Linked DNA regions of Drosophila melanogaster. The protein of the gene in region 3 interacts with the protein of the main gene of each other region in a pairwise test. Each region holds a gene or a part of one and is shown on either strand. Other genes may lie near its edges.

The links. Proteins that work in one complex are often made in the same cells at the same time.
Region 1: the proteins of CG42851 (region 3) and Syx8 interact in a two-hybrid assay, tested with the Drosophila melanogaster proteins (one large-scale study listed by BioGRID).
Region 2: the proteins of CG42851 (region 3) and CG31775 interact in a two-hybrid assay, tested with the Drosophila melanogaster proteins (one large-scale study listed by BioGRID).

Annotation. Positions count from the first base shown.
Region 1 is NT_037436.4:16,585,608-16,588,798, forward strand, and holds Syx8 (syntaxin 8), read right to left. Parts: upstream 1,451-3,191; 5' UTR 1,372-1,450; coding exon 834-1,371; intron 781-833; coding exon 620-780; 3' UTR 501-619; downstream 1-500. Other genes in the region: UQCR-C2 (Ubiquinol-cytochrome c reductase core protein 2), read left to right, coding at 1-417; CG32163 (uncharacterized protein), read left to right, coding at 1,762-2,193.
Region 2 is NT_033779.5:14,736,590-14,739,391, reverse strand, and holds CG31775 (uncharacterized protein), read left to right. Parts: upstream 1-1,622; 5' UTR 1,623-1,661; coding exon 1,662-1,673; intron 1,674-1,740; coding exon 1,741-1,998; 3' UTR 1,999-2,302; downstream 2,303-2,802. Other genes in the region: CG31835 (uncharacterized protein), read right to left, coding at 2,392-2,802.
Region 3 is NT_033778.4:24,806,544-24,811,134, forward strand, and holds CG42851 (uncharacterized protein), read left to right. Parts: upstream 1-2,781; 5' UTR 2,782-2,918; coding exon 2,919-3,113; 3' UTR 3,114-3,564; downstream 3,565-4,591.

The sequences.
Region 1 (3,191 bases), on a different chromosome or scaffold from region 3:
AACTGCGCCGGCGGCGTCGGAGCCTCTGTCAAGGCTGTGAATGCCAGCTACTCGGACGCTGGTCTGTTCGGTTTTGTGGTCTCCGCCGACTCCAAGGACATTGGCAAGACCGTGGAGTTCCTGGTGCGCGGCCTGAAGTCGGCTTCGGTGTCTGATAAGGATGTGGCCAGAGGCAAGGCTCTTCTGAAGGCGCGCATCATCTCGCGCTACTCGTCGGACGGTGGTCTAATTAAGGAGATCGGTCGCCAGGCGGCGCTCACCCGGAACGTGCTGGAGGCGGACGCCCTGCTTGGCGCAATCGATGGCATCTCGCAGTCGCAGGTCCAGGAGGCGGCCAAGAAGGTGGGCAGCTCCAAGCTGGCCGTCGGCGCCATCGGGCACCTGGCGAACGTGCCCTACGCCTCCGATTTGGCTTAAGTATATAAACACCTGTACATCTGTTAACCGTAATGTAACGACTAAATAAACCTGATCAAGGGGATCGATCCGCGAACGTAAATACTTATAAATCCTACTTTAATTGGTGTATACATAAATAATCAAACTTTGGGTTAACAGATAGACATTCCACGCAGGTCATAGTATAAAGTAGTATAACAACTGGAATGGATCGTGGGAGCTAGACGAAGACCACGACAATGATGGCGACGAACAAGGCTATGATGACGAGCCAGTAGCCCCAGGTACTGTCCCGCCGGTTAACCTGTCCAATGCTCTGTGTTTCCCGCTGCACACCCGTTTCCACACGGTCCATGGCATTGGCCAAGTTGTCAAGGATATCTACAAGGAGGTAGGGATTAGCATTGGTAGTGCAGGGACTGGGGAATACCCACTGTTCTGGTCCTCCACCTCGTTGCCCAGCTGTGTGGCCAGTTGGCGCTGTCTGGACAATGTGGCTGATAGAACCTCGAGTCCTTCGTTCTGCTGCGCCAGCATCTCGGTCTTTTTCTGCTTCAGAGCCTCCACATCCAAGGCGGTATTCCGCGAGGAATTGCTGTGACCTGGGCCGAGATCCTGATCCTGCCAAGCAGAACCGGATGCGGCCGGGACATTGGAGCGGCTACTGTTTGCGAACTTCTCGCGGATCTCGCGCAGCTGCGAAGTAAGTCTATCCCAGTCGATGCGCCGCTGTTGCAGCTCCTCCTCCGGGCTCGTCTCCCAGGTGATGGCGTTGTCCAGCACCACCTTGAGGTGCTTCATGTCCTTGGCCAGCTGCTCTATTCCCGTCTGAATGCTGCTTGTCAGTTGGACGAACTGGCTCGTCCTCGGATTGAGCTGCTGCCGCTGGTTGAGGTATACCAGCAGCTGATGCCGCAGTCGCTCGCAGCCCTCGTACTCGATGTCCCAGGAATCGTGATCCACCAGCGCCATTTCTCTGCTTTTGCTATGAGTAATTATCAAAAGCAGAAAACTACGCCTCCAGCAATCCAAGTAACAAAAACAAAAACAATAGCCGAGCAACAGCTGATGGCTGGTAGCAAAATAAGTAAGCGCGAGTACGGTCACATTGCCAGTAAGAAGGGATTCGGAAATAATCTTCAATGTTTGAACTGATTTAGATATTATACTTATGTAGCTGTAGATAAGCTGGAAAAATGCACCGCGATTAATCCCCAATCCTTTATCAATTCACCTCGCAGGTGCGTTGCTAGTGTGAACTATTTACTAAATAATTTAAGCTGGTCACTCGAAAATCGTCACTATGATGTGAAGTATGATTATTCGGCCCGAATTCCTGAAACTACTCACAAAAATTAAGAAATGCTTTCCAAATTGCTTCCAATTCTGATTCTGCAAGGTGGCCGAAGAACGTATTCCTTGTGCTCGAGAGATTACACCATCCCCACAAGTAACCACACCCTAACTGGTCAAATTTTAAAGGTTCCAAACCTAAATTCGCAGGAAAGATGTTTTGGTACGCACATTGTTGTCCGGCATAAGAGAGGTCGGTTCTACACCGACATTGGCGAGCTCCGGGCTGTATTGGTATACTCCATCAGGGACGGTGTGATGACCATCAACAGCACCAACGTCCCGGAGGAACTGGGCGGACATGGCATTGGGAAGCTACTGGCCAAGTCGGCACTGGACTACGCACTGTTGAATGGGCACTTCATTATTATAAGGTGTCGGTTTGTCCAGCACTACATCGACAAGTATGAGCCGCAATACGCCAAGTACATATTAAATTAGGGAACCGAAAACAAAACTTCAAAATTGTCGACACAATCAAACTGAACACAAATAAATCCCCCCACTATGCACATAGACACCATACATATAAACGTATATTTGCGTTCAGATTTGTTGAATTCCTTCGGTTTTTGAAAAATTACATGAAAATAATTTGAATTGGCTTATTTTTAAATTATTTCAAAATTTCTAAACCGAAAGGTAACAGATTATATTTAATGACGAAATTACGGTTTCTTATATAAGCTATTTTGTTATGCTTCTAAAAACAAATGTTTTATTACCTCTTTAAAATATGTAAACTAGTTTTCACAATATATTTTAAAAAATTGTTAATTTCCATATATACCACCTTGCATTGTGTGACCACCCTGAAATTAGCAAAGGGCGTTGCCAGACTCCGGCCACCCACGCACATACGATAGTTGGGACCGGCCCGGCGCGGTGGACAAAGTCACGGTATCGATATGGTGACACGATTCACCCACACATGCATGCATTGGGCTACGATGGCTGTGACACAAGGTGTGAAGAAATCACTGGGTTACAATGAGCGCTATTTATAAATATTTTGGAAGTATGCTGCAGGATTTCATAAAAGTAGTATGCAATTGGTATGCTTGATTCATATTGTTTAAAATTTGCTGTGCTACGTCAATTTTGTACTTGAAAAATATGGAGTCGTGACATGCCGCCAAAGCGGTGACTTGTCACGGTGAAATAATCGCGACTAGTAGCAGGTACGCAACTATCGCCCATCGCTAGCTCACACGTACACACAATTTATTTAGTCGTGATTTCTATTTTATTTGTTTCAAATTACAACCAAGAAGGAAACAAATCGCGACCAAAATCCGCTGGCCACAATGCCGAGTGCCTGTACAAGCGTGCGCGAGCATTCCCACTAATCGGAAGCGAGCGCATCCGCCGTTTTGAGCGTTTTCCGCGCGGGAGTGGGAAATCGAAAAGGCAAGGCAAGCCATCGGTCCGCTGCAAAA
Region 2 (2,802 bases), on a different chromosome or scaffold from region 3:
TTGCGTTGAACACATCGGTTCTAAATGTGGCTGTTGTGCCATTAGTTACTCTTCTGTCTCTGTCTCGGTTTGAATCTCCATCTCGCTCTCTTCTTTTTAATTTTCCCGACTTGGTGCGCGGCAGTTGTAATAGAAGTTTTCCGGCTTCATGCACCTCCGCCCTTGCACCACCCCCTTTCGGCGACCATTGTGGTGGATTCAGTACACTCTTAAAAATAAGATGTTTAATAAACATATAGCAGGTGGAAGCCGAATGGAGCGATTTGCACCAAAACAAAGTAATAAAAACAAAATTTTCTTATTTTTTGCTTATTATTTCCTATCGAAATCTATATACCCCAAGCTGTGATTATTAGATTAAGCGTCTGCGATGAGGTAGCAAAATTCTAGCACTGCATTAACAGAGCTGATTTCTGATCAGGGGTTGAGGACCTTTAGCCTGATCTTTCTTCTTGTTAATTTGTTTTGCTTATTTTGGAGCTGATTAGCTATATACCGATTAAAAGCTTTTCAATTGCCACTAAAAAAAAAGTATAAGAAACGGCGAAGACTTTTTAGCGCTGCATTTAAATTCACAAGCTTAACAGTATTCTTTTAGGCTGAATTTGCTCTCAAAAAAAGTACAATTGGTTTGGAAAATTTTAAATGTTTTTGAATGTAACCAAACACAGCGAAAAAAAATACAAATAATATTTCTTTAAAAAAAAGGATGTAAAGAAATAAACTAGTCTTATTAGTTTAATAAATACAATTTTTTAAGACACATAATTTCTATGTTTTTATAGACGGTACTTGTGGAGTAATTGAGTATACCAAATTCTTTAAAAAGTCTGTGGGAGTTCGAAGAAGGCGTTGCCGAACCTTTACCTATACAGAATATATATATTCTTCACCAGCATCACCAGCGGAGTCTATCTAGCCGTATTCGTTTGGCCATCTGTCTGTAAGCCTGTCTGTATGAACTGAATGAGATTCAGACCTCTAAATAGTTCCAATTCTTTCAGAACCTGTGCCAACAACACTCTAGATTCTTCATTGATTTCATCTAGTCTTGTCTTGTAAATATCTTAGTTCTTCTATTAGCTAAGAAATGGGTATCTGATAATCGAGGAATGCGACTATAGTGGTCTAACCTGTTAAGCGCTAAAATTCAAAGACATAACATAATTATACGTATGTATAAAAAATTAATCCATGATTACAAGGATTTCATACTTAATTATCCCTCCTCATTTCGAAAGTCTAATGATAACCCAGAAAAGCAAACAAGAACATTTGTTGCCGTAACACGTTTGTGATGCGTGAAAACGGAACATAAATGATCTAAAGTAATCTCAAACAACGTCTTCTTCTAAGTCGCCCTTAGTTTTTCTTAGCAACTGTTGCGGACTTATTAGATTAGGCTCGACTTCCCAGATAAGATTGATGTTGAAGGGTTCCCCCCGTTGAGCATAGGCATTGATACAGTGCTCAAATATTAATTTCCCAGACGTCTGGAAATTTTTTTCGTATTTTTGTTGGGTTAATTGTACTTGATTTTGTCAGAACATTGATAATACTTCGGCGCGTGACGACATGATGAGATTGCAGGAGAGTATAAAAGATCGGAGGCGTCCAAAAATTTTATTCACATTAGCAAGACTAACCGAAGTATCAGCACCATGAAGTTTTTGGTACGTTTTACATATACGCTTCAAAGAAAAACCTTTAAGAACTAAGTTGATTTTAATATTGTTACAGATCCTCTTCATTGCCCTATTCGCCGCGGCCGCTGCCCTACCTCAGTTTGGATTCGGCGGTGGATTCGGTGATCAGCAGCAGCAGCAGCAAGGAGGATTTGGAGGTGGATTTGGTGATCAGCAGCAGCAGCAAGGAGGATTTGGCGGTGGATTCGGAGGTGGATTCGGTGATCAGCAGCAGCAGCAGCAAGGAGGATTTGGAGGTGGATTCGGAGGTGGATTCGGTGATCAGCAGCAGCAACAGCAACAAGGCTGGTAAAAACCAATTCATAGCACCGTCTTAACGCAGATACCTCAATAAAAATATGACACCTTTATGATAAAAAAACAATTGGAATTTTTTACTTTATCGTTCTCGAAAATTTATGAGTTTTATGAAAATAAATTTATATTTATTATTCATTTATATTTATTAAATAGTGCCCAGAAATAAATACACTTAACATAAGGGACAACGGGAAATATCTTCTCTTTCAGATGTTCAAATGGTTTTACTTAAAACATTGTAAATATAAATAAAAGCCAAAATATAAAAGCCATATTATAAATATAAGCCAAATTTTCACAAAAATTTTGTTTTTCTTTGAAATATGTAACGCAACTAAAAAGCGGATTCAACATGATTGAAAAAACAGATACAATTTCGAGTATCCTAATCAATGGCCTCCTCAGCAGCCACCCTTTTGTGCTCCTCGATCTGCACCTTGTCCAGATCGACTCCATCTTTTTTGGCTGCCCGTATCTCGCCTTCCCCCTCCGATCCGTCTAGCTGGTTGGTCTGCCAAACTCCTGTCCACGGCAGTGACATCACTGACATGACCTTGACCAGACTGCTATGGTTTTCCTGGTCTAGATCACTCTCCCCATTTCCTTCCCGTATTCGTCTGTCTCCATCCGGCAACTGCAACTCCTCGCAGCACAGCATGGAAATCAGCAAGTGCTCAACGAAGAGGGTTCGCCGCAGCCTTTGAGATTCGTCCGTATCGTGGCACTGCACTTTTTGCTGTGCAATCCACTGAAGTAGAACATATCTGTCGTCGTCGTGTTCGAATGGCCCCCCGGA
Region 3 (4,591 bases):
ATCGCGTGCTGCACTGGAGGTCTTCAAAACGCTTACGAGTTGCAGCCCCGGGGCTCGGGGCACCGTCACAGCCCATGTCCAAGTCAAAGCCTCATCACCAGCATCCGATTCCGATGGGGACTGGGACTGGGACTGGGACTGAGACTGGAACTGTCTCTGCCCCCCATTCATTTGGCCTGGGTGTTGACCAGTCTCAGACTGCGCCCGGGGTCATCTGGCAGCTCCTGTCGTCCCTTCCAGAGAGAATCAGAGAGACAGAGAGACTGAGCGAGGGAGATCGACCTGGGCTAATGATTGCCAGGGCGGCCAGCTTTTCGTATATTTCAGCTGGCCAAGTTCCGAGGTGGTACGAGTATTTGGCCAAAACAAGATTGATTTCCTGAAATCGAAACCTTGAGACGAGTTGCACAGCCAGAGACACGCAAGGGGCCCAGATCGCAGTGATAATGATTTCGAGAGCCAGTTTTTCTCGCTCTTTTTACGAACTCGGATTGGGGCTGTAGCCATATCATGGTCCAAGGTCCGCGTCCCCTTCAGCGAAATGCAAAAACAAATTGTTTGTGGGTCAGCGTGGCGCGGGGCAGGGCCTAAGAAGAGCAGGAGGATGCGGATGGTGATGGGGATGGGGTGGTGATGAGGGTGAGGATGAGCGGGCCATGGGGCGTTCCGTTGTTTCAAGGAATTCAAGGGAAACAGAAACAGAAAAAGGATGAGGATGAGGAGCCTGCCCGGAGGCGGGGAACGACCTCGTCTGGGGCTGCTTTGCTGTCTCTGCACTCCAGCTCCATCTTATTTTTCAGGAGACTACACACGGAAGCCTAATGCTGGCCATGTGATTTGTGATTTGAGATTTGTGCTTTTGGGCCTCGATCTGTTTCCCTGGAAAACGCGCCATTTCTAGCCTAAGTTCTGGCAATGACAAAGAGCTGGCCGCTGACTGGAGCAGCAGGAGGCACAAGCGGCATGCAGCAGCAGCGGCAGCAGCAGCAGCATGCTAATTTATGAAGTAGCAACTTGCAGCGACATGGATGCAGTAATTATAGCTTGGCAACTTGTTGCCAGCCTGGCCCAACTGCATGAATGGAAGAAAGCCAGCCCAGTTTGCTGTTTTCCATGCTAAACAGAAGCTGTTCTACTGCAGCAGCAGTGGCGGCGTCAGGTGAACGCGGACGTGGATGGGGATGTGGCTGTTTGTGGTGGATGTTGTACGTAAACGCGCCCACTCGGTTACTCCGATCGGCTGCAAAAAGCGCTCCAAACAGCTAAGACAAAAGTAGGAGTCCAGCCATGGAGTGCCGAAGTTCTTACTACTCTCTATCGACATAGTTCGAAGCCCATAATCTGCCAAATTGAAAATTCAGAAGATTAAACAATCAAAGAAATATATATTGCAACCATATTTGTGTATTTCGGTTATATTGTACACGCTTCTCATAAAAAGGCATATACCTCGGTTTCAGGGTATCAAAATAACTGGCTTAAAAAAAGCTAAAAAAAAAAGGTCCTACCCCGTGGCGTTTTGGCTTTTGATGGGTTGGCTCTGCTGACTGCTCGGCAGCGGCAACATGCGGCATGCAGCAACAGCATCAGCAACGGCAACATGGGGCAGCAGCAACATAGTTTACACACCTACCGATGCCGCAGTCGAAATGAAGTCGGAGAAGAAGTCGGGGGCTGGGCTCCGTCTGCCGAACCCTCTGGCCAGCAACATGCACTTAACTGGTAGCCACAATGCACTTTATAATACCCGGGAACATGGCTCTCATCTGTGGCGCGGAGTGGGTATCTGCCCCTCCTCGCAGTTTGATAGATGCGGCTGACTCGGACTCCCGGAGCGATCTACCAGGGGGCGTTGCTGCTGTGCTGCAGTGCAACATTGGAGGACAGAGTCGCAGTTGAAGCAGCCGAGTAGGAGAGTAGCATAGCAGCAGAAGCTGCACCGTTAGCTGGCTTGGCTTGTGAGCTTGGGCCTCATTTGCATCGGGCCATAAACTCGGTGGCCCAGTTCTCGACGGGCGAACCCGTATCCGAATCTGCATCCGACTGCGAGTGCGAATCCGATTGCGAGCCCAATTGAGACGAACTTTGAGCCGGCGCTAGGCAATGGCCTTGGATTAGTTAAATCCGTTCCGTTGCGACCCGCCTAATCCTTCCTTCCTGCAGGGCACCTCATTAGCCACACCACCACCCACCCAGGTAGGGGTAAGGTCAAGGGTTTCCGGGCTAAGGGCTCGGAAGGTGTTTTCGCCGTGTACCAAAATATAATTAGCGAGCCGGGCAAATCTCTTTTTAATGCCGTCCAGTCAGCGGGGGTGTTCCGATTGAAATTGGAGCGTAGCCGAAGGAAGTGTGAAAAGTCGATGCAGAATTTCCGAAAACTGAGCCCAGGACGCTGAAGCTGAGGTAGACGAGGCCGGGAATTAAAAGCGCAGCCGCCTCTCATCATCATCAGCATCATCCTTAGCAACGTCCGCAAAACACTCACGCACACAGGGAATTAAGTTGAGTTCTGGGTTCTGGATACTGGATTCTGGATTCTGGGCACCGAGGTTCCAGTTCTGAGCTCTAAGTTCCCAGTTTCAAGACATGAAAGATGCCGACCGATGCCGAGGATTTTCGATGTGGCGCCGGCCAGTGAGTATAAATCATATCACTCACACACAAAAGGCGTGGGAAGGGGTAAGCTGGTATACAGTCCCGCGACCGCAGTCTTTGTTAATTAATTGCCCAGCTCCAGAATAGACACCTTTTCAGGCTTCGAATTTTTTGAGCCCCGAAGTCACAGCAAACTTTGCATTTTTCGGAGGCGGAACCAAATTCAACAACATATTTGATAGATTTCAGAAAACCTACGATTCATAGGTTTCAAGGGGCCTTGCAGATCCATGTGGCTTCTCTTGCTCCTGCTGGGTCTGCCGATGGAAACAAACGAAGGAGAGGAGTGCAGAAATGGACTAACTCTCGGACGCCAGCAGTGCTACCTCCACGAGGAGATCTTTCTAGCCCACCACCCTTTGCAAAGTGTCACAGCCAAGAGGCTCAAGCTTCCCTGGTGGTGCGCCCTCCTAGAAAGCCTCTTCCTGCTCCTGCTGGTGAAGCTGCTCCAGTTGTAGATGAGCCAACATCTCTCTCTCTTTCTCTCTCTCTCCGTAATTGCCGCTGATGTAAGCGGACAGGTGGAGGCGACAAATGTCACACATGCTGCTCGTAAATCACATCGGAAACGGTTTTGCTCTTGCTGCACATGATAATTTGGCCAGGGTGGCTTGCTGGAGGTCTGGCCTATGTGCTTCTAATTAAATTGTTCAAAATGTTTTAAAGCGCGCTTTTGGGTCTGGCGCTGGAAAATCGCTGACAAATGCTTCCATCAAAACACAGAAAAAGTTTTCATTTTGTTTTGTCAATGTCCAGGCCACATAGCACTCAACGGTGGACGGGCACAGTGGGCTGCGATCTATGGAAATGGGAGCATATGGAAATATGGCATCACATGGTTTTGTGACAAATTATAAATATATATTTTACAAGAGGTGACTGTAGAGTAAATAAATACTAAATCAAATGATATTTTAGATATGATTTAATCCGTATCAATGATGAGTAGCCAACACTTTTCCCGTTCGAATAAAACGGAAACAAAACTACGGCTACGAGACAATTTAAAACGAATTAAAAGCGCAACCGTTTGAAACCTCCCGAACCCAAACAAACCGAACCGAAGGCATCCAATTGAAAATAGCAACAAGTTAATTTGGACAGCCCCTCCCCCGCCTACCTTCGCTCCTTTTGGTAAGTCATTAGAAAAAATGTCGAGTCGCGCAATTTGAATATTTCGATGGGCAATGTATGCGACTCCGACTCCGTCGGTTAATTTAAGGTGATAATTGCTTTTTAATGTGACACAACTAAATTTTTCCCATTTACATACTGCTCGTTGTTGTTGTCGTTGTGGTTGTACTGCTTGTTGTACCGGAAGTTTTTTGGGCCTGCGCATGTGCAGCCAAGAGGTCAAAGGGTAGGAGGAGGGGGCTGAAGGTGCGGGGCCAGACACTTGTTACGTCGCTGGGATAACAACGATGGCAACAACAACAGCAACGACAACTGCCGACGCCAGTACAATAATAAAGTGTCAACAATTATTTTCAAATTTCCAAACATTTCATTTCATTTTGGTTCGGTGCTAAGCTATTTGATGTTTTTTGGGGTTTTTGGTTGGTGCTTTGTGGCTGTTCCTTTCGAGTGACGCTGCTTAAAAGGTTTTCAAAGTGTGAAATTGGGATTGCCGCATCCCCTTCGTAGTTGAGCGGATTTCAGGGGTGGAAATATTCAGTAATGGGTTCAACGAGTCAAGTTGGAAGAGTTATCTAATACCCATGCACTCACTCATGTAATATAGTTAAATAAATTTCAAACTTTTAAAGTTCAAATAAATAAATTAAATCAAAAGGAGTTTTAAAACGAATTATGCGAATTAATGTTCTTAAGATGCCTTGCGATCGCGTTTTTTGCTTAAGTCTTTTGTTTTGAAATCGGCTTTTATTCGTATCAAATAGAACATCAGTTCTACCTAGATTGAATTTCAACTAATTGA